Lonchura striata: one gene and its partner. The protein of the gene in region 1 interacts with the protein of each later gene in a biochemical or structural test. Links are inferred from orthologs where the notes say so. Each region holds a gene or a part of one and is shown on either strand. Other genes may lie near its edges. The genes, in order: PDZD2 and CTNND2.

What was found.
Region 2: the proteins of PDZD2 (region 1) and CTNND2 form a complex in vitro, tested with the Homo sapiens proteins (2 studies listed by BioGRID and IntAct, with this or other methods). The link is inferred for Lonchura striata from reciprocal best matches to the Homo sapiens genes PDZD2 and CTNND2.

What each region holds. Positions count from the first base shown.
Region 1 is NC_134642.1:39,145,307-39,155,515, forward strand, and holds the start of PDZD2 (PDZ domain-containing protein 2), read left to right. Parts: upstream 1-5,809; 5' UTR 5,810-5,957; coding exon 5,958-6,436; intron 6,437-10,209.
Region 2 is NC_134603.1:72,727,304-72,738,365, reverse strand, and holds the start of CTNND2 (catenin delta-2), read left to right. Parts: upstream 1-5,834; 5' UTR 5,835-5,927; coding exon 5,928-5,964; intron 5,965-6,076; exon of another isoform or gene 6,077-6,134; intron 6,135-10,202; exon of another isoform or gene 10,203-10,309; intron 10,310-11,062. UniProt on the Homo sapiens protein: Has a critical role in neuronal development, particularly in the formation and/or maintenance of dendritic spines and synapses. Involved in the regulation of Wnt signaling.

The DNA of each region.
Region 1 (10,209 bases):
TTGGCTTTGGGTTCAGTCTGTGGGCTGCCACAGCAGTGGGGTGTAAGCCTGAGCCCTAAAACCACTACTTATCATGGTGAGAGTCTTTTTAAGATGAACACCCATGAAAGGCTAATCCCCTTTGTGGGTCCTCCTCAAAGTGAGTGGTCATGTAGTCTCTGCATCATCATGATCCTTCTATCTGAACAGGATTAATATTTTTTCCATATCACATGCAGTATATTAATTGACATTTGCCACCCCAGTACTTTCCCAGTGGAGATGTTCTGTGCTTGCAAACACACTATCTGCAAATTCTTAGTTCACTTTATCCTTGAAAGTGCTAATGAAAAATCTCAACAGACCACACTACTGAGATGTAGGTAAGATAGGAGATTTAATTACCAGAGAGTGTGAATCAGTAGCCTCAGAGGGATTCAGAGCAACCAGGACAAAATCTCTTGGGTAGAAAGTTGTCCCCAGGAACAGGGACTCCTTTTCACAAGACAGGACTTTGGGCCCAGGGGGCTTCCCATTCCCAGTTCTGGCTTGTTTTACTCCAGACAAGTCTAGGCAATTCCAGTTTGGGCATAATCTAGAGTATTTTGTGTATAGGTCTGTACTCAATTCAAGGCAGGTGGGGTGGTCTGGCAGATCTGTCAGACCTACAGCAAGTAAGCAAGGTGGCGGTGACTCCATGAAATTTTCTGAAATGGGTCTTGAGTCTATTTTGTGGAAGTCAAGAGTAAAAATAAATTTCTTCCTAGCATTGAGGTTTCCATTTTTATCAGGCAGGTCTATTTTTTCCCTTGATGAACAGCTTACCACCTTTCTATTTTTTGCTTCCATTTGCACTAGACACCCGAGCCACTCTTCTCACCAACACAAAGCTGTTCAGCTCAGTGCTGTGCTGTCTGCTACATCTGGAAGGAGTATTTCCTATTTATGCTTGTCTGGAGTAATTTTTCCAAAGCCAGAAGGTTTTGTTTGAGAATATCAAATCCCTTGAAAGTACCGTATAATTATCTACATGATTAATTTAAGTGTCTGCCATGGCTCTGCAGTGAACTCAGGGGCGTAGACAAGCAACCCGCAGTGTATTGATGCCCACAGCTTTTCCTGTGGGGAGAAGGAATGGGGTTTTGAAGGTTGCCTGCCTCTGGCAGCGTGGAGGGGGCCGTCATCCTCTATCTCTGGAGGGATGTGTGTGCATGGAGGGGGAGAGCCCTCCAGCAATGCTGCTAAATGAATGATGGATGAGTTTTGCGTGGAATGCAGATGCCTTTGAACGCTCTGACAGCTAACTGCAGGATTGAAGCTGAAGTCATCATCAGTGCCCTTTGCCAATGCAGACGAGATTTGGAGATTTGAGCTACAACTCTGAGCTGCTTTCAAGGAGCCCTGAGATCTCCAGGGACCCTGGCAGTGCTTTTGATCTGGGAATAGCTGGCAAAAGACAGTCCATAATATGTCTACCCAATGTCAAACCTGATAAACAGCTGAGAACAAAACTTTAAATTATTAGGCAAAAAGAGCCTCAAAGTATGATCTGGTCCCATCTTCTCTAGAGCTTGAATGGTTTTGAACTGTATATGGTCACTGAAAGTTGTACCAAAGTTTGCTGTTAAAGCAAAGGGTGTCATTGTCATAACTCACAGATGTTATCCATTAAATGACCTCTTACTGTACTCTCACTAGGACGGTAAATTATGTTGAAGGAAGTAAAAGTAAGAGGGATTGAAATGGAGAAATCTTAATGTCTCCCACAACCCAAGAGATATTGGCTCCAATCATTGTTCATGGCAGATCTCTGACCTTCTGCAGAGACCACCGTGAGTGTTGGAGACTCCAGCAGCTGTGATAGTGTTCCCCAGTGTCTTCATACTTTTCATCCTTCTGAGTGTTACATAACCACTCCCTGCATGTGATTCACATGCATTACTCCATCACAGACAAGAGGAACAGACTACTTTTCTCCTCATGGTCACTGTGGGTCATTTTAAAGTACATGAGGACCTTTAACTTGTGCTCTCAAATCCTACCTGCAATACTTTCTCCTTTTTAGCAGGCCCTAACTTTTTGAATATTTCCTAGTAATTCATACTTTCAAGACTGCCAAGTCATGTCAGAACTCTTCCAATTGGGAAGTTTTGCTGCTGAGACCTTCCAAGCCATGTGTGAGGCAACAGAAATACTTCATATGCCTTGTTACCTTTGTCCCTGCTGACACATCCTGAGACAATGACCCTTTTTTTTCTCCAGCAGCAGGATATTGACAAGAATGATTCCCTATAAACCTTTGAAAATGTTCAAAACCAAGCTGGGTGGGGCTCTTGTCTGGAGCAATGTGTCCCTATCCATGGCAGGGGGGTTTGGGACCACATTCCTTCTTAACCCAATCCATTCTGTGATTCTGTGAAAATGCTGCATCTCTTGCCAAAGATTTGCCACATAGCCAGTCCCTTCTAAGTGAGATATTTCTTTTGCAGTGTTCTGCATTTGTCCTTGATGAACTTTACCCTAATTTTTAGAGTATGTTTTTCTGATTTTTGCCAAAATATTTTAGATGCTAATCCTGTCCTTCAGTGTGTCTGCAGACATGCCCATCTTTGTGTAATCTGCAGATTTAATATGTGTATTTGCTTTCATTGTCCAGGTCACTAATGAGTGTGCTGAGCAAAACTAGACTATACAGATCCAGCAGAGCTCCACTTTCAGTGTCCGTATGTTTCACAGAATGTTATTAATAACTACTCCCTGGGTATGGACTTACAGTAGTCTCATTTAATCATATTTCCCAAGTATATTTATGAGAAAGTTGTTTGAGACAGTGACAAAAGCTATAATGAAGCCCAGATGAACTATATTTGACAACTTTCCATTATGAAAAGAAATTAAGTTGATTTCACATGATTTTATTCTTGCCTCTTCTGTGTCTGCTGCTGCTTATATTTTTGTTCTCTTCCCCATAAATGCAAACTATTTCTCTGTTTGATTTGGAGTTTTTTGGATGATTGATGCTAGATTGACTGATATCACATTTTTCTGCTGCTTTTCCTTCTACCCTTGAAGACAGCCACTGCATTTGCTGTTGTCCTTAATTCTGACACCTTACCTGTTTGAATTCTCACAAGTGACCAGCCATCTGAGATGGTTTTAGCTGGTTTGTAGGAGATTTAAATGGTGGTTTTCCCAACTCTGCTGGACTGGAAATGCCTGAATTGAACTAATCTCTTACTCTGGAACAGGCAGAGAAGAGGGTAGTATGCCTCTGTACTGATATTGTGTCACACTGTGTACTAATCCCCCATGCATAGTTGGTAATTTTAAAAAGGACTAAAGCAAAACTCAAACCAGTGTTGCCTCTTTTTGTGTCATTTTTCAATAACTTTCTCTCTGAGCAATGTTTTTCTTCGTATTAATATGCATATAAAGAGTAACTTTTTTTTATCTTCTGCAAGTTTCATTTCATTTTTATACCCTGATGTTTCTATTATTTTTGCCTATGTGTTCATGCTGGTTTTTTTAAACTTGTGCTCAGTAACCTTTTAGTGTTCTTTCTTCTTGTCTTTGGGGAAAATAAAAAGCTCGTGATGCTGCCAAATCTTCTGATCCTTCTTCATTGAGATGCTATTGTGCCTGTGCCTTTTAAGCAAAAAATATTGTTTCTTCAAGAAACTATAGCTCACCTTGATTTCTTTTTTCTTTAAACTTTTCTCCATGAATTCTCTCCTAGCAGTTTCTTTTTTTTTTTTTTTTTTTTTTTTTTAAATGTACTGAAGCCAGTCATTTCTATTTTGCTGTTCGCAATCCCTTGATTTTACAGGCATTCTTACAGGAGTTTCTTTCCACCTTCTTATCCCCTACACATCTCTCTCTGGAGGCACTTCCTTGCTGATTACTTGACCCCATCCATTATGTGAGAATTTTGCTCTGAAGGCACCAGGACTTTCTATCTCCTACTACTTTCTTTTTCTAGCAGTTATCTCATGCTTCTACTTTCCCATTATCATTGAGTCAGCTGTTATCAGGTTCTTGGTTTAGGGTTTGTTGTGCCCTCCCGTGTATTTTGTTTTGTGCTTTCTGCCTTTATTATTAACTAGATAATTTAGCAGTTCTTACTCCTCCTGTCTTCTGGACCTCAGAGCAAATATACACATCATTCTCAGTGTGCCAAGAGGTTCTGCCTCTACTTTTTCTTTGTTGGTCCACATATAAGCTATGCATTTTTAGATCAATATTCCAGATATAGGTCTTACAACAGTAAGTTCCAATTATGTCAGTTAAATCATTGCTTTTGTCTTAAATATGAGATCTTAAATAAGACTTAAATTCTGTGTTAAAAAATCCCACATACTCACCAGTGTTGCATTAGGTATCTAAAATGCTCAGAGGATTTATCCTTACCTCCTGATCAGTCCATGTCTGTATTATCACCACTTGTTTTAGACATGTGCCTAGGCAGTTTCTGTCTTTATTCTTCCCCTTTTCTTCCCTTTTTTTCCTGCCCTGAGCCTATCTCAGAAGTCTCTCTTTCTGAGCAAGGGGCCAGTTCCTCCTTTCCCAAGCTGATGTCTATCCCTGTTGAGCCACTGGTGTAACATCAGCCTCTTGGTTAAGATGCTGGTGTCCTCCTGTAGAAGCATCACGTGGCCCTGAGCTGTTGTTGTCCTTGAGCTTTGTCCTTGACCTTTGAGCTTGTTGTTGACCCTAAGCTTTCTTGGGTCACTTCTGTCCATCTAAGTTTTGCCCCACAGCCAAGGAGGTGGCAGAACTTAGAGGTTTTGGGCAGCAGCATTTTGCAAGAGCCTCCCTCTACACTAATTCTTTTGGGGTTATAAACTCTTCCTACAGCTTTTCTACCTAACACAAGCCTTTATGCACATCTGCAAGAGCACACCTGCAGACTGCAAGCTCGAAGCTGCTGCTTTCTTCAGTTTTCCTGGTGCACAGCTCACTGAGCAGCATCCACTGCTAGAAAATAAAGCCCTGAAAGAATCCGGTCAACCAGACCTGACTCGGGTCAGGGTTTTTTCTTGTTTCATAGATCCTAATGATCCTGGCAAAAAAAACCCTGATTCATCCTGTTGCTTGCTAACCTCTGCCTCCCACTGACTCCTGGCTGTCTGTGTGCCTCCCTCCAAACTGCAGGCAGTTGGGTGATTCACCTGCCGTACTCCTTTCCCGGGAAGCTGGATAGTCACTTCTCTTAGACGCCTTACCCACAAGGTGGCTGTGCACCACCGTTGCCATGAAGAGAGGGACCCCACTGGCATATTTGCCTTTCTGTTTGCTGCTGCCCATCTCTCGTGCAGCTTGGCGGGGAGCTAAGTCCGGGAAGAGACCGGTTTGAGCCTATCCAGCCCAAAATCACCGGCATGGACGGCAGGGCTGTCAGGAAGGGGGGCTGTCAGGACGGCAGGGCTGTCAGCTTCAGTCGCCGGTGAGGCCGGTGCCCCTCCAGCGGCCCTTTGAGCAGGAGTGTCATCCCCGCTCGGGTCAGAGCCCCGGAGCTGCGGCAGGAGCATCCCCTGGGCTCTGTAATCCGCCTTTCACCGCCAAGGTCAGGAGCTAATGGTGACCTTTTATTCCCTTGCTGAGGAGAGCAGCTGGTGCCCTCAAGTGGTAAATGGCAGGAGGAGAGCGGGCCCTTCTAACCGCGCTGTTTTGCCCTCGCAGGACGAGACGCCGTGGGGCTCGTGGTGGGAAGGACGCTTGGTACCCGACCGAGCGGGGACACCGGCGGCAGGCAGACCTGCACGGCCACAGACGCTGGCAAACTTGTCCCACCAGCCTGTTCGTAGGGACGGCTGTAGCGCCGTGACACCAAACATTCCTTGACTTTGTTCCTGGACAGCTGGAACCTCCCAGAAAATCTCCGTGAGACTACATGGAGCTTGCTTTGGACGTGCAGTCCCTCTCCAGCATGTTCGACTGGGGCCGGGGCTGAGGCCGTGAGGGGATGCCCAGGGACAGCGATGCCCATCACACAGGACAACGCGGGGTTCTTCCTGCCCCTCCTGTGCCAGTGGCTGCAGAACAGCTGGCGGGAGGGGGCCGAGGGAGCCGAGCAGCAGCTCTGCCGCTCGGCCGTCCAGAAACTGAGCGAGTACATCCAGCTCAACTTCTCTGTGGACGAGAGCAACCTGCAGCCAGGGAGCTGTGGGGCTTTGGATACGGAGATCTGCACCATGTACCTGGCCCAAGAGATGCGGAAAAATGAAGTCCTCGGCTTGAGCTTTGGGAATATCCCTGCTCTGGGGGACTATGGGGAGAAGCGCCGGGGAGGAAAGAAGAGGAAGGCGCATAAGGGGCCTGTGCTCGATGTTGGGTGCATCTGGGTGACAGACTTGAAGAAGAACAGTCCGGCTGGGAAGTGTGGGAGAGTGCGCCTGAAAGACGAGATCCTTTCTCTGAACGGGCAGCTGATGGTCGGTGTGGATGTCACTGGAGCAAGGTAAGGGTGGCAGAGCCACCAGCAGCAGCTGCCTCTGGTGCCACATGGTGCAAATCACAGTTGATACTGTTGGAAGTCCAGGAACAGAGGTTTTGACCTTTGCAAGAGAGAGTCATGGATTCATTTTTAAGGCCTTGTAGAAAATAAGTAAGAAAAGCAAATTGATAATTAGCCTGCGTGTGCTACTAACACTTCCGCTGAAAACATTTCAGGAGTCATTGGGTCAAAAAATTACACATCATAATTGCCAGAGGGGCTTTACTAAAATAGGAGCCTTCCTGGTTTTTTATAAAATGGTTTTCTTAAGCAAAAATGAACACAGATGCAGCAGCACCGGAAGATATTTTTACAGGTGCTCATATTTTTTGTTGAATTATTTTGGTTGAGAGAAGTGTATTTGACAGCCAAGTGTTGTCTGAGACTTTATCGAAGCAAGACATTTTTTATTTTCCAGTTTGGAACAACTTCATTTTAATAAATTCCCTTTGACTTTAATACATTTGCTCTCTTCTGATGTCTCCTGATCCAGAAAACTTGAAATCTTTAAGAGTTCAAATAAAAAAATTAGGATTCTTGTAATGATACAGATTGTTCTTGTGGTATTTTTTTTTTTAAATTCAGCTATTCTGTAAATTCAGTTACTTTCCCAGTATTGCTCTTTGTGGGCTGGTACACTTTCTCACATTACCCTTTGCAAAGGCAAAACCCTTTCTCTGCTGTAGATGAGGATGTAAACATTCATTCATTCCTGAGGTTACAATGTACCTGAGGGCATGAAATTCTCTCCCTCTTGCCAAAAGGGAATTTATTTTGGGGGTGGACACCTTTGGAAACCAAATCCTAGTGAAGTGACCCCAACAACGGGATAACTTCACTTGAATGTGGCAGGAGTTTGGGCTGACCATCACTCCCAGTTCTGACATGTGGCAGAATAAAAGCAGTGACTCCTCAATCTGTGGGTGTTGGGCAGCTCAACCTTCTGTGGTTTTACAGGTATGATCTGTAATTCCTAGCTTGTAATTCAGTAAGTGTATACATACTGGTACTGTGGCAGTATCGGTCAGTGGCACCTCCAAATTTGAGAGTGTTTATGGCAAAAGGCACTTAGTTTGCTGTTTCCCCTTTGTCAGATGTCACTTTTTCTAAATACAAGGGAATTGCTTGCAGTGGGCAGCAATAATGTTATCTTATTAAAAATGCAAAATGAGAGTTAATAGCCAATGAAGCCAAGAATCTTGGGCTATCTGTTCTCTTTTGGCTTATCTCTGAGGGCTTAATATGGGGCTTGTTCCTTTTGGAAAGTTCTGTTATTAAACTGGCAAGCTGTGACTGCAGCTAATGGGAACTAAGTGCTCCATTTTCCTTACTTTTTTGGGCCATTACAAAGACACAGTTTTAGTGGTGTGGAGCCAGTGTTTTTAAAATCTTGTTTTAGAATATTCAACATCCAATTTAGGCCAAAATTTAGGACATTTTGTAGTCAAAACCCATTTTATTTTCAACATCCACAGCATCCTTATGTAACTTACTATTTGACTATTTGTCTAACTGCTATTTGACAAAGGTGATGTTGATGGATGGCAGTTTGGGACCTTGAGGATGCTCCCAGTTTGGAGAGCTGGCTTTTTCCTATGTGGGAGCTGGCTGGCAGCTCCAACCCCATGTTCCCACATTGTGCATCTGGAGTGCTTGAGGATGCTTTGAGAATCTTTCTCCACTGGGGTGCTCAGAATAATTCTGTCTAGCTTTATAATAGTATGAAAGGCAACATCAACTTGCCTTCTGGGAAGACTGCTTCCAAGAATAAGCTTTCCTAGAGAATTCCATATTGCTGCTATGGTGGAAGTAGCAAAGCCCTTTTCCCCTTAGTTTTTCAAAGAGTTATTGGGGCAGGACAGCACACTGACTAGTACATTGTCTGACAGCACACTAGTACTGACTCAATTTCTGACTGCCTAATTATTCCCTGGCTGAGTGAGAAACATTTCCAGGTCGATACAAGGGGCTGTGGGTGCTCTGATTTGTGGTGTGATTTACTTAGTGGGGCCTAGACATGATCAGTGAAGGTAAAATATTGCCTTAGTTCCTGCAGCACCAGGTTAGACTCAGCAAGCAAAATCACTGCTTGTGTGTTTATTCCACGCCTGCCCAGTGTTCCAGGGCAGCCCTATCTTGCCTGATGAAGAAATTTTTCAAACTGATGCTATGGAAAATCTTCTGATTTATTCCCTTTACAATGGAGGAATTGGCATGGGGGTCTCACAGCTCCACGTTGCAGTAGGGTTTGCAGAAGTGTTCTCACATACCCTGGGCTTCATGTAACCTCAGCTTTAGTTCCAGCCTGCCATCCAAATCCTCCCTGTTCCAAGGGGCTAAACTAATGCACCAGAAAACAAGAGAGAAGAGGTGAGGGTACACAGTCCTTTCTGCTATCCTATGGATGTGGTCAGCCTCTAGAGGATGCAGGGGAAGGTCAGAGGAGCTGGAACAGATTGGGCAGCCCTGGACAGACAGGGCTGTTTTGGCCTTGCTTGGTGGGCCCACAGGTCCTCATGTCTCAGAACGGTGATGGGATCAGACACAGTAAGAGCAGCAAAACACTTCCTGGAGGAGCCAGCTGTGAGTACCACTCATCTCTCTCTCCTTGCTAAGAAAGCTGAATATGACTTCTTTAAAGAAAGGTTATTTATTTAAATTCCACATGATTTTCATGTAAACAGCAGAGATGGGTTGATTATTGCTGAACTTGTTTATTTTATTTTTTTTTCCTTTTCATTTAGAAAAACACTATGGAGTAATAAAGTCATCAAAGCTTTTTGCTTAACAGGGTATTATTACATTAGAGAGGAATAATGTAGGTGGTGTCATTTTTGGTGATGTTAGTGATTGAGGGAAAATTATTGCTCTCTTTAGAGTTAGCAAATTGTGTGTCTATCAAACACAATTGCAGGGAAATTAGCTGTATTGGAATATTGAACAAAGGTTAGTCAAAACTCTGCATATTTATTTATCTATCTTCTGTCTATACAACTGTATCTGCAAAATGCATGGGTTATGTTCCCCCCGACAACAACTTCCTATGTATTTTGGATCAACTCTACTCATTTTGGGCTATTACTCACTTGCTGAAGGGATGCTGTTAGTATTTCTAGAGATAACAGATGGATCCTTCATTTCTTGAACATAACTGAGTGGGGCTTCTTTGAGAAAGTCCTTGGAGCACTGCAAAAAAAAAATTTTTTCATTAATATAATTCAGTTTGAAATATTTGATTATGAATTTCATCAAGCATAGCTGCAGTGCTTGGACACAGCTACCATATACATTTAATCTTTAAAATCAGTGCTAAGTAGATTTTCAAATTCATTTTTGTAAAAAGCAGAGTAAGATACATCACCAGTGTTGACAGTGTGGTAGAAACATGAATTAGTATTATAATTTTGTCATTGAGAAAACCCAACCACTCCTTCAAGATACCATCTTTCTTGTTGCCAGAAATCACCAAACATTGCCATATGTGGGAATACAGTCAGAGAAGTGGCTGGCTTCTTTTTAACCCACAAACTGGAGTTGCTTCCAAAAAATCCAAAGAGAGAAATATTTTGTCAGCCATACCTTTGCACAGTGCTTTTTTAGTCTCTCCTCTTCAGTCAGTGTCCTGGGGAAGTTGCTGAGACTCCTCCTCAGAATAGGTAAAGCATGCCACATTTCAGGGAATTCAGTTTCCTTTCAGAGATGTTGAGAAAGACCTTTAAGAATCAGGTCTGCAATGG
Region 2 (11,062 bases), on another chromosome or scaffold:
CAGTGGAAAGATACAAAGTAAAACCCTGGCATAAATTGATTAAATAATAGGATAATAATTGTAACAAGGTTTCACTAACTTTTATTCAAACAGCATAATTTTCTGAATCTGTGTCAAAAATTTCTGCATGACTTTTTGCAGGATGGTCTTTTTTGTTGAGATGGACTTATTCAATATACAAATACAGAAAAGAGAAAAAATAATCCAACATACAGTATAGTTTTGTAAGTGTTATACCTTAATCCTAATGCTTTTATAGCTCTAAATATATTAAAGGATGTATCCTGGGAATTGCTTGTCATTTCAGTTGACAATAATAGAGATAAACATCTTGATATACAATCTATAGATTACAATTTGCAGCCAAGTTGACATTGTACTGCTAGTAATAGCAGGCAACATAAAGGCAGAATGAAATTACTTTCTTTCATGGGGTTAATGTTTACAAATTATTTCAGACCCGCTCTTTATATAACCTATTAATACAGGGTATATGAATTTACTACAGTAAACTTTGTTTTACTGGATGCTGAAAAGAACAATTTTTACACTACATTAATTGTCATTTTAACTTCTGGCCTTCAATCTTCCAAATAACAATATAAAAAAAAACCCCAAAACAAAAACAAACCCACCCCCCCAAAAAAAAAAACAAACCCAAAAAACCCCCAAAAACTCCACAAACTGAAAACCTCAAGTCTTCTTTCAATCAGATCTCTTTAATTGATAGGAAAAAGCACTTACATTGTCTGTTACCTTCTTAATATTTTCACTAAGTTTTTCTGTGAAGTTAAGTAAAACTCCAAGTAGCTCCTTAATCTGGAACACTTAAATGAAGTTTTGTTATTAAAAAATGTAGTTCTCTCACTATACCTTGAATAGGAGCTCTGATTGATCGTGACTGACACACACCATTGAATTAAATTGAAATTTTTACCTTTTGTATAATTTCATGTGAAAATCTGACATGCTCAAAATGCTAAATTGTTTAGGAAACCAATGGCAGCTATTCACTAGACAATAATTTTTACAATTATTTTTTTAAGTAAGGTAGGTCCAAAAGTATTTTAATACAGCTGTTTCAGAGAGATTCTGTTCATTACTGCCTATTTGGTCATCAATGGATGAAGCTGGGAATAAGAAAATCTCAGTTGGGTCCTAAGGCTGTGAATTGTCTTCAGTACATAAAAAATCAACTCTCCAATGCAAGTACACATTCATTTACTAAATCTGCAGGTACTACAAATTCAATTGTATCTTCCTATTGCCAGTCAAGCTTAGCACTTCAACAATAATTTACTCATAATCAGACTGAGTCAAAGCCAGCTGTGCCTCAGAATTGAAAATACCTTCTATTTATTTAGGAGACTTCTGTTTAAAAAATATTTTCATGAGATAAGAATGCAAGCTTTGCAAATACAATCATGCAAACCTTCTCTTTTCATGTCATCATTGTGGCATAGAAAATCATCTTCATCCCAGGATTTACAGGTACTTTGTTGTTATACAATATTTTGCAACAATTTAGGAGAAATGGAAAATACACATAGTATTACTATCATTCAAGGACGATTTGACTTTTTAAAGATAACATCAAAGTCAAATAAAGGAGAAGAAATTTGGACCAATTATTTTAATTCATTACCAGCTTAGTTTCATTAAGATACCATACTGTGTGACTCAAGAAACATGTTCTTTCCTATCTGAAATGTATTTCAGTGGATGTTGTCAACATTTTTTTAATAATTTCACCTTGAAATAATTCTTAGAAAGGGATAAGACAGTAATTGCAAGAACTTCTTTGAAATATAGCTGTAAACTAAAAAACTATTTATACTTGACTGATTTTTCAGTTTATTAAAAAGAGCAAAACCAAGTTTTCCCAACTTTATTCTAGATTGCCTAAAGATTGTCTGAAACATGCTACTATTACATATACCTAGTTTCACTTCAGTTACATTTTAGTATGGAAAGTTCCCATTGACTTCAGCATGAAAAAAGAAGTTGTTGGACCTGGTCCATGACAGAGGACCTCAACAATCTTCACATGAATTATACATTTAGATTCAAACATAATCTTAAAGAAAGTCAAAACAGAAAAGAAATGTTTTCCTTTCTGTCCAAAAATTCAAGCTTCCAAACTCCATTCCAAGAAGAATCAAACAAAAATTAAATATGATTTAAGACAGAACATGCAGACACAACTAGTATATAGATATCCCATATTTTAGAGGACTCGTCCTGACTGTTGACGCAACTGTTGACTAATGGACTTCTCCTTGGGTACCTCCACTGCTAGCTTCATCCTTTACCTCATGATTAACTTTTTCACAAAGAAAAATACATATTTTTAGTTAGCAGGATGGGAAAATTATCACTGGTAACCAGGTATTCCAAGATGGAACCCTTGAGCCTAAACTTGAAAAATTGGTTACTGCTATTGTTTTTCATAATACAGTCATTTGGAGGACTAATTATCTGAAAATTCTACTACTCCATTTAATTCTATTCATATTACGACTTCTTTTTTTCTGTTTTCTAAAATTTTTACTTGCCATTTCTTTGATCAAATAGAAATGGGAGGCTCAAGAACCTTTGTAAATCTAACAGGTAAATATAAATGGCAAAGATGCTTTTACAGCTCCCATGCTAGAAAATATCCACCTTGATATGATAATTTCCTTTTATTTTTCCATCTTTCTCAAGGAAAAAAATAAAAAATCTCCAACTTGAACAAACACTTAGGGAAGTTAACCAAAGATAAGGACAGATACCCCACTTCTAGGTACAGACCTGAGAAGCCTGAGAAAACAGACTGTCTATATCCAAGAAGTCTGGGACTGACCAAAAAAGTGAAGAGCTTCCACCTACATAAGCTTTTGGCTTGTCAGAAGAGGTTTAGTCTGAGAATAAAGTTGGCAGACCTCTTCCAGAAGTTGTGTGGAATGCAACCTCTTCCAGAAGTGGATCTCACTGCTTTCCACATTCTTAACCCTCACTGATCTGCCTTACTCTTCCTCCGTGACAGCAGCAACAGCAGTAAAAAAGTAATATTGAACCCTGATTTAATTCCCTTGTTATGTTTCTCCACATCCATAAGCAGGGCTTGGTCCTGACCCCTTCTCTGACCTCACCTGGTATCAGGGAACATTGAAATGTGATGCAGCAGGGAGAATCAGAGAGGAAAGTGACAGGAAAAGGAGAAGCTTTTTGAATCTTGCAACATCTTGAGATGAAATCCCTCTCATGCAAAACTGTGATGTGAAAGGAGGAAACTTTGTGAGAGAAAAACCGATTTCAGACACTTCCCAGATTCTTGCAAAACCCTTCTGTCTCCAGGCCTCACTTTCCCTACAGAGAGTCTACATTTCAGCTTCCATACTAACTAGTCAGGTCAGTATAGCCAGCTGGGTAACCTTTGCAGTGTGGGGAGAATCAGATGTCTTAGGTTCATTCTTCACTAGCCCACACTGCTTATCCTACAATTAGGTCAGATGTGTACAGTCCCCAGGGCCATGAACTGTCCGTATTACATGGGAATATTTGAGGGGGAATGGAAGGAGGACACAGCCTACTTCTAGTCTTTCAATCTCCTTTACCTTTATAGACAGAAAGACATTTCGGCTCTGAAAAAGAGCCTGGGCTGCAGAAGGTGGATCACATGATGCTATAGCATATCTATGATACTGTAGCACCCAGTAATTTAATTATCAAGTACATCTTGAAGATTAACTGTATGACAGTGACTCCAGGCAACTACTGAGTGATCCACTACTTTCAGTTCAGAGTTACATGTCTGTCTCAGGCTGGGAATCACAAACCCAGGGGCTTGCACTTTGCAGAAAAAATGAACTTTTGGTCCAACCAAAAGTTCGGACAATGGGCTAGTTGGTAGCTTCTCTAATCGAGTCACGACTGGATTGGCCACTGTGTTTTGCCACCAGCCAGCTCCCCTCTATAGTTGCAACTCAGTAGGTATCAAGACATGCCAGACTGCAAGCTGACAATGAGGTTTTGGGTTTACTCTAGACTTGAGCCCAGAGGTGCACTTCTTACAAGTCCTATTAGTTGGGCAAAATCTGGATTGGCATTGCGGGGTGCTGCCAGGCTGAATCACCCTCAGCTGTAACTTACTGATTTTGTCACAGGTGGGTGGGCCACCTTCACCCAACTCAGGGAAAGGACACATACTAGTCATCTATATGGTCCAAAACATATGGTAATAAACCCCCCTTGTTCCTCCAAAAAGTGACCTCAGGCCTAAAATAAAGCATTCTGGCTCTGAGAAGACGCAGCCTCCGGCCTTCCCGTGACATTAAGGGAGGGGTAGTCACCGCAACCACCCAACGGTGAGAAGTGGGACCCCCGGTCAGGTGAATCTCCTGCTCGCAGCAGTTTGGGGAAGCCACGAGAACGCCAAGCGAGAGGTGGCAGCAGCGAGTCGCCGTGCAGCCCGGTGGCGGCGGTCGGGCCGTTCCGCTGTCGCCTCGGCTCAGCCCGGCCGCAGGTACCGCTGCGGGGCCCGGCATGACTTACCCGGCGGTGTGGGGCTGGAGGGGCGCGGGGAGGAGGGATGGGAACGCCGTGTCCCGCGGGAGCCGGGCCATGGCCCAGGGACACGCGGATCCCTCTCTGCGGGGCAGGTGCTGGGACCGCGATTTCGGGCAATAAATGACCGGCTGTAGGCCCTGGCCGGGCGCCTCGGCCGCGGTTGTCCCCAGTGCCGTGCTGATGGCTCAGCCTGCTGCAAGAGTGAATTAGCAGAGGTTACCCTGGGAAACAACCCCCAAAAATTGGGTGGTTTTGTTTAGGTACCAAAACTCCGAGCGGCGAGTTGAAAGGAGCTATGGAGTGGTAACTTTCAGGTGAGTGCTGCAATTGCATTCCACACAAGTTTCTCAACGAAGGGTTAAGCGTGCGCAGGAATAAAACATGACTTCCATATTCCTTACCCTATTTGTTCGCAATAAGATTTCTGAAAACACAGTAGGATTTCCACCTAGGTTTCCCAAGCATGGGAAGAGAGACCCGAGGTAGGCGCGAGCCAGGGCACGAGCTCTGGCTTCCCTGTTGTTGTCACCGTTTTGGCAGGTCGACCTCAAGTTCCCAACCCATGACAGCGGGAACCGCGGTTACTGCCAAGGGGCTGCTCCCCATCTACGACCCCCGCCCAGAGTGCGCTCCCACACCTGCGCCCTCCGCCCTGCCTCCCCTTCCACAGTAAATCAGAGCCGCCCCGGCCGCGGGGCTTTGAGGAAACACGGGGACGCGCCCCTCTGGGGCGAGGCTGGGCGACCCGGCCCGGCCCGGCCCTACCTCAGCCCCGCCCGGCACAGGCGGCAGCGCCTCATCGGTAGCGGGGCCGCCCGCCCCCCTCTGTTCTCCCCAGCGCCGGCTGCTCGGCCGCGGCGGGCGCGCTCCTGCTGGGGAGGGGACGGGCCGGGAGGGGCGGAGGCAGGCGGGAGGGAGGGAGGCAGGGCGGGCGGGAGCGCGGCGGCGGCAGATGCTGCGGCGGCGGCTGTGTCTCCTTCGGCCACATCCCGCGGCCGGTGTGCCCGCCCGGCGCGCTGCGCTACGGCGCCGCTGCGCAGCCTGCCCCAGCCGCCACCGCCGCGGCCGCAGCGGCCCCGCGCCTCGCCCCAGCGGCGGGGCGGTGGATGCCGAGCCCTCCTCGCCCCGGCAGCCAGCGGGCAGCTGTCCTGCGGCCGAGTCCCTCGGAGCCGGATCGGCGCGCTCGCACGGACGCGGGGACACACGGGCGCACATGCACGCCCTGGGGGGGGGCAAGCCGAAGATGCTGCAGCTGGGCAAGGTCAGGACCTTGCGGTGAAGCCCGGAGCCGTCGCACGCCCCCCCCCGCCCCCCCCGCCGCTACCCCGCTTCATTCTCGCTTGGCGGACTGAGGATTTGCTGTTGGGTTTTGGTATATGTTTGGGAGCAAGCAGGCTGAATCGGCGCCGATCGGTGAGTACGACAGGCACCGTAATGGTGCCAGGTCCGTCCCCCTCCCCCCACACACCCTTCCCGCCTGCGTGATATTTCTTCTTGGTGCGGGGTCCTGCGCTGCTCCCCTCGGCGAGGCAGCCGGGCTGGGTTGGGCTGCAAGGAGCGGTGTTTATGCCCTCAGCCGAAAGGTAACAAAGTGCGTTATTTTCTCATGGCTCTTTCTCCCGGGCCTCCCCCTCCATCGCTTTCCTCCCTTTCTTGCTACGTTAGTCGCTTCTTATGTAGGGCATCGGCGATACCGTGCCTCCCGACGCCCTGCACTAACGTTCTCGTTACGGCGGTGAAGTCATGGGCCCAGGGAGAAGAAGGAGGAAGAGGAGAAAGATGAAGGGGCTCGGGGACCCGCGGGCGGGGACAGCGCCCGGCCCTGCGCGAAGCCTGCGCCCGCTGCTGCGAGTGTCTGTGTGTCTGTGCGTGTGTCTGTGTGTGTGTGTGCGGAGGGGAGTGTGGGGTGTGTGCTCCTCTTTTGAAGCCACCGTCTGCGAAATCCTGCGCTCGAGGAGCGGGCGGAGGGGGTGGGGAGGGGAGCCGCGATGTGCGCTGTGATGTTTCGTTAATCTGTATTTAATGGCTGAAAGGAGAGATGCTTTTCTTTCCTTTACCCTTACCTTACTCTTATTCTGGTGTGTAATGTGCTTGCATCGATCGGTCAAATCGTAGCTTCAGCTGAATCAAGTCACCACAGAGGAAGGAGGTGCAGTGGCACAGGCAGTACATGTAATACACAAATTCATCTGGCCAGGGATCTTTGAAAAAAACGAAAAAAAAAAAACGTTAGAGGGATAATTTTGGAAACCATGGTAAATTTCCCCTGGAGGGACTGGAAGGATGAATACACAGAAGAGTGTGCTACAGTATCTTGTGCTGTTACATTTTCTTATACTTTGTTAGTGTGTGCTTTGTTTGGATTCAGGGTGTCACAGTTAACCCTATGCTTTACAGAAAAGAAAAACCCAAAACTTGGAAGAAATATTTAGAAATGAAGAGGCTCCTTTATTGAGCACCCAGCTCTTAACTTTAGTGACTGTAGTAACTGATATGGGTCCCTTAAAACATGCCTTTTTATTGGCAATAACAAGGTAAAAACTTCACGTGGTGGGTTTATTTTCAAAGTCTTTATAGGTAGCCTATATGTAAGGTGAAAACAGTGAGTCAACCTGAGCTTTGCTTTGTAGCAAACCTTTCCATAGGGTACGTCAAGACTTAGGTACCTCAAGACAAAGGGAGGACAACCCAGAATTATATGGAGTTTATGTAAGTCTGTTGTGTCTTTTGCAAAATCAAGAGAGGGAAAAAAAATCTTTAATCATTCTGTACTTCAGGATATATTCATCCTGTCTTAAAAAATCAACTGATTATGTAACTTTTGTAGGCTGGGCTTATCTTTTTCAGACAGCCTAGTTAGCAATGTAAAAATGATATGGCATAAAGGGGTTAAGGGCAGGTCTCCAAAGAAAGCTGCTGTATATCCTACTTGTGGGCCTCTGAGACTCAAGTGGCTTTAGGGCTTTTGTTGTTGCCTTTACACAGGTTGTCTGGGGAGGAGCCCCAACACTAAACCCAAACACGTGGAATGACTGTGATATTTAAGCAAAACATTATATCATGATCAAATAGCCTTGTAAGACTAATTTCTGAGCAGGGCTGGTGACGCTGTCTCATTTGGGTCTGTGAATGACATGATCCTTTGGGAGCCTTGACTGACTATCAGCTGCAAAACTGCAGAGAACTTGAGATTGATCATCGTCATTAGTAAGAAGTTGATTAATAGCTTGGGACTGGGTTGAATGTGATTATGTTGAATACTGTAGTTCCAAAAGAGAAGATCACATCTTGATCACGTTGTTCAGAGATGTTTTTTGCAGTCTTATATAAGAGAGGCTTGGAAAAAAAAGGAGTAGCAGGCTGTGCTATGTATACCTACTGAGGGAAATACATCCCAAAGCTGCTAGTAGGAAGCTAAGTATTTATTTCCAAATGCCAGTTGCATGACTTTTCATGGATTGTAAGAAAAATGCTTTTTTTGGGAGAGAGGATTCCAGCTACAATTCTTGCGTTCTGTTTTTCAGGTGCCTTAATAAATGTTAAAAGCAACAAATAGCTCATCAGTGACACAAGCCACTGTCTTTTGCTGTGGGGTTTTTTTGATAACAACACCAAGATAATTTCATCCTCACATAATGAAATCTAATAGAGAGTTGAACAATATAGAAATAATAGCAACTAGAAAAAAGATTTTTGCATAATTCTGATTTGTATAATTTACCTTTGCTGATGGATGGTAGCAATTTAATGACTATGATTTGGTGTTGAGCAATTATTGCTCAATACACATGTAAAATCAACTTGTGCTATAAAAGAAGTGCTGGAGCAGATTATTTTAAGGGTTTTAAGATAAACCTTTTTAGTAGGGGTGTAGATTGGCATGTAAATGGAGCAGATAACAGAATCAGTGGAACTCATAAGTGTTAAATTTTGCACTAAATTTCAGGTACATTTTCTATTTCATGGTTCAGTGTGATATGATTTTTAACGCTGATTACTTGTGGAAATTTCAGCATATTTTTGTTGGATTTCAAGCATATGTTTCTATCCCAAAAGCAGCTGTTTTCAGGAGTATCAGCAAGATAAGGAAAATACATTATTACAGTACCCTTCACTTAAATAAGGACCTGTGGTTTTGATGCCCATTGGCTGTGCTTGTAAATCATTAAGAGTTTGACATTTGAAATTACACCTGAGATTTAACAAAAATGAAAGTGATTGTTTTTTCTCTTTGAAGTTCTCACTAAGATCCTATTAGAGGATGAATTTTGGATGCTTATTTGCCTGCACAATATTAAGTTTAGTAGTAGAATTATTAATAAGATACAAGTAAACAACATACCTTAATGGAGGCAGCAGTTTTAAATTTAGAACATTTATTTATTGACAGAATGACTCTCAAATTGGGCTAAACCACATTTGCTCTTAAAGAAGAGATTGCTTTTGTCATGACAGAAGATATTATACCAGGAAAAACATTGCATTTTTGGCCTTTTTTAATGCAAATATATCAGGAAAAGTATTTTCTCTCATATGAATAGGAAGTCTCCATGCAGGACAAGTAAGTAGTCCTCTGCTCACACTGCAGAAACACATGACCCTTTGGCTAAATGGCTTCTTGGTAGTTAGGTTCACCTGGAAAGAAATCTGAATGGACCATGATACACTGAAACAATTTCTTCTATCCCCTTGGGATGTGCTAACTTCATGTAGTAAATGGGTTGTAAAAGCAGATTGCCCGACCAGATTGTCTGGCGTTATGCTGGACAAATTTAAATTCAATAGTATTGAAAAGGAAATATGTTATTTGTTTCTATGTAAGCCAGTTGCCATGTCAGTACATTTTTTTTTTTCTTATATAAACTGTCAGTTTAGTCTAGAACTAAGAAAGAGAGAAACATTTCATTATCTATGAGAGAAAGCATTTAATATTTATTTAAATTGCTCTCGGCATGGTAACTTCTAGTGCATTCTACTGGCTCTTAATCTGCCTATTCTACTTTACAAAACTCTAGTATAGTAATAAGCAATAACTTCAAGACACATAAAGCATAGAACAGAATAAATTGTCTTGTCCTTTTGGTTGCTGCCTATTTAATTGAAGCTTCTGAAAAAAAACCCAACAAAAACAAACAAAAAAACCACCCAATGTAAACTCCCCCAAGAAACCCTCCAGGTTTCTAATGAAGCTTTTAAACTTTGTACTTCTCAGAGCTGCCAAAATGGTATTAACTCTCTAAAATTAATATGTAAAATAACTCTGTTTGATGTTGCATTTTGTTTTGGTTTATTGTGTTAATTGTATCAATTCTACTATATAATGAACTTTTATTTACTACTTGTTTTAATTAATTTTAAGAAGCCACAAATATGTAGAGCCTAACTTGTAGCATCCAAAATCAAGAATATCTGAGACCCAAAAGGGCTTTACATAAAACATTCTGTAGAAGAGGATTTTGCATTTTCCCCTCCTATGTTTTCAATGTTTTTGACTTCCACTCTTTTTTCCTTGTCAAATTTACAATTGATTTCATCATCTTCCAAAAATCTTCACAGTAGAGCAACTTCCTTTTGGTCAAGATAATTACTTTTACTGATAGTGTAACTTAAATTTCCCTGCTTAATGTAACATAAATATCTTCTTTTTTCAGCTATGGGCACATTCTCCTATTCAAATACTGTCAGTTGATATTCAATTAAGTAGCCAAGATATCCCTTTAAGGCTGAATTTTTGAAGGGAGCCAAAGGAAATAAACAGGTAGTGTAAATATATATTCTGACGGGATTTTTGATTGTTTTAAACCCACTGAATAAGACTTAACCCTTACACGTTCATTTATTTCAGATTTCTATTATGTAGTTTCATTCAAATTACTAATATGCTTGGGAAAATAATTAGGAGTAAGTTTCAGTCTGGTGGTAGAAAATTGTTGTACCTTTTAGCTCTGCTAGGATGGCTATTGGATGTAATCTTCATCCTGTAAAAGCATGTGCTTTCTGTCAGAATCAGTAAGCAGTTTGGAAGGGTGACTGGCAAGGATGGTCTGAGAGGTAACTCAAGGCTCCAATGAGTTTGAAGGTATTTTAGTTCCTACTTCCCAAGAGACTTCTACAATTTTTGAAGCTGGGTGTCTAAAAAGCAAGAAAACATACACTGGATGTTATAAACAGAACATGTGAACTTTTTAGTTCTTCTTAACAGTTTACCACCTAAATGCTATAAGTGGCTCTGTTTTTTTGTTTGTTTGTTTAGGGTGGGGTTTGTTTGGGGTTTTGTTTGTTTCAGTTTGGTTTTTTTGTTGGTGTTTTTTTTTTAATGCATACATTCTTTTAAATTTATGTGAGTGAAGAGTGTAACTTTTCTGAAGATGGCATAAATTAATCAAGTCCTGGCACGTTGGCTGGGTAGTAATCAGGTTTCTTCAAAAGTGGGTTGTTGTTGTCCCAGTCAAATTTTCTTGTTCAAAAAAAATTGTTCTTGACAAGAGGTTGACTGTTGCTTTACTTGTTT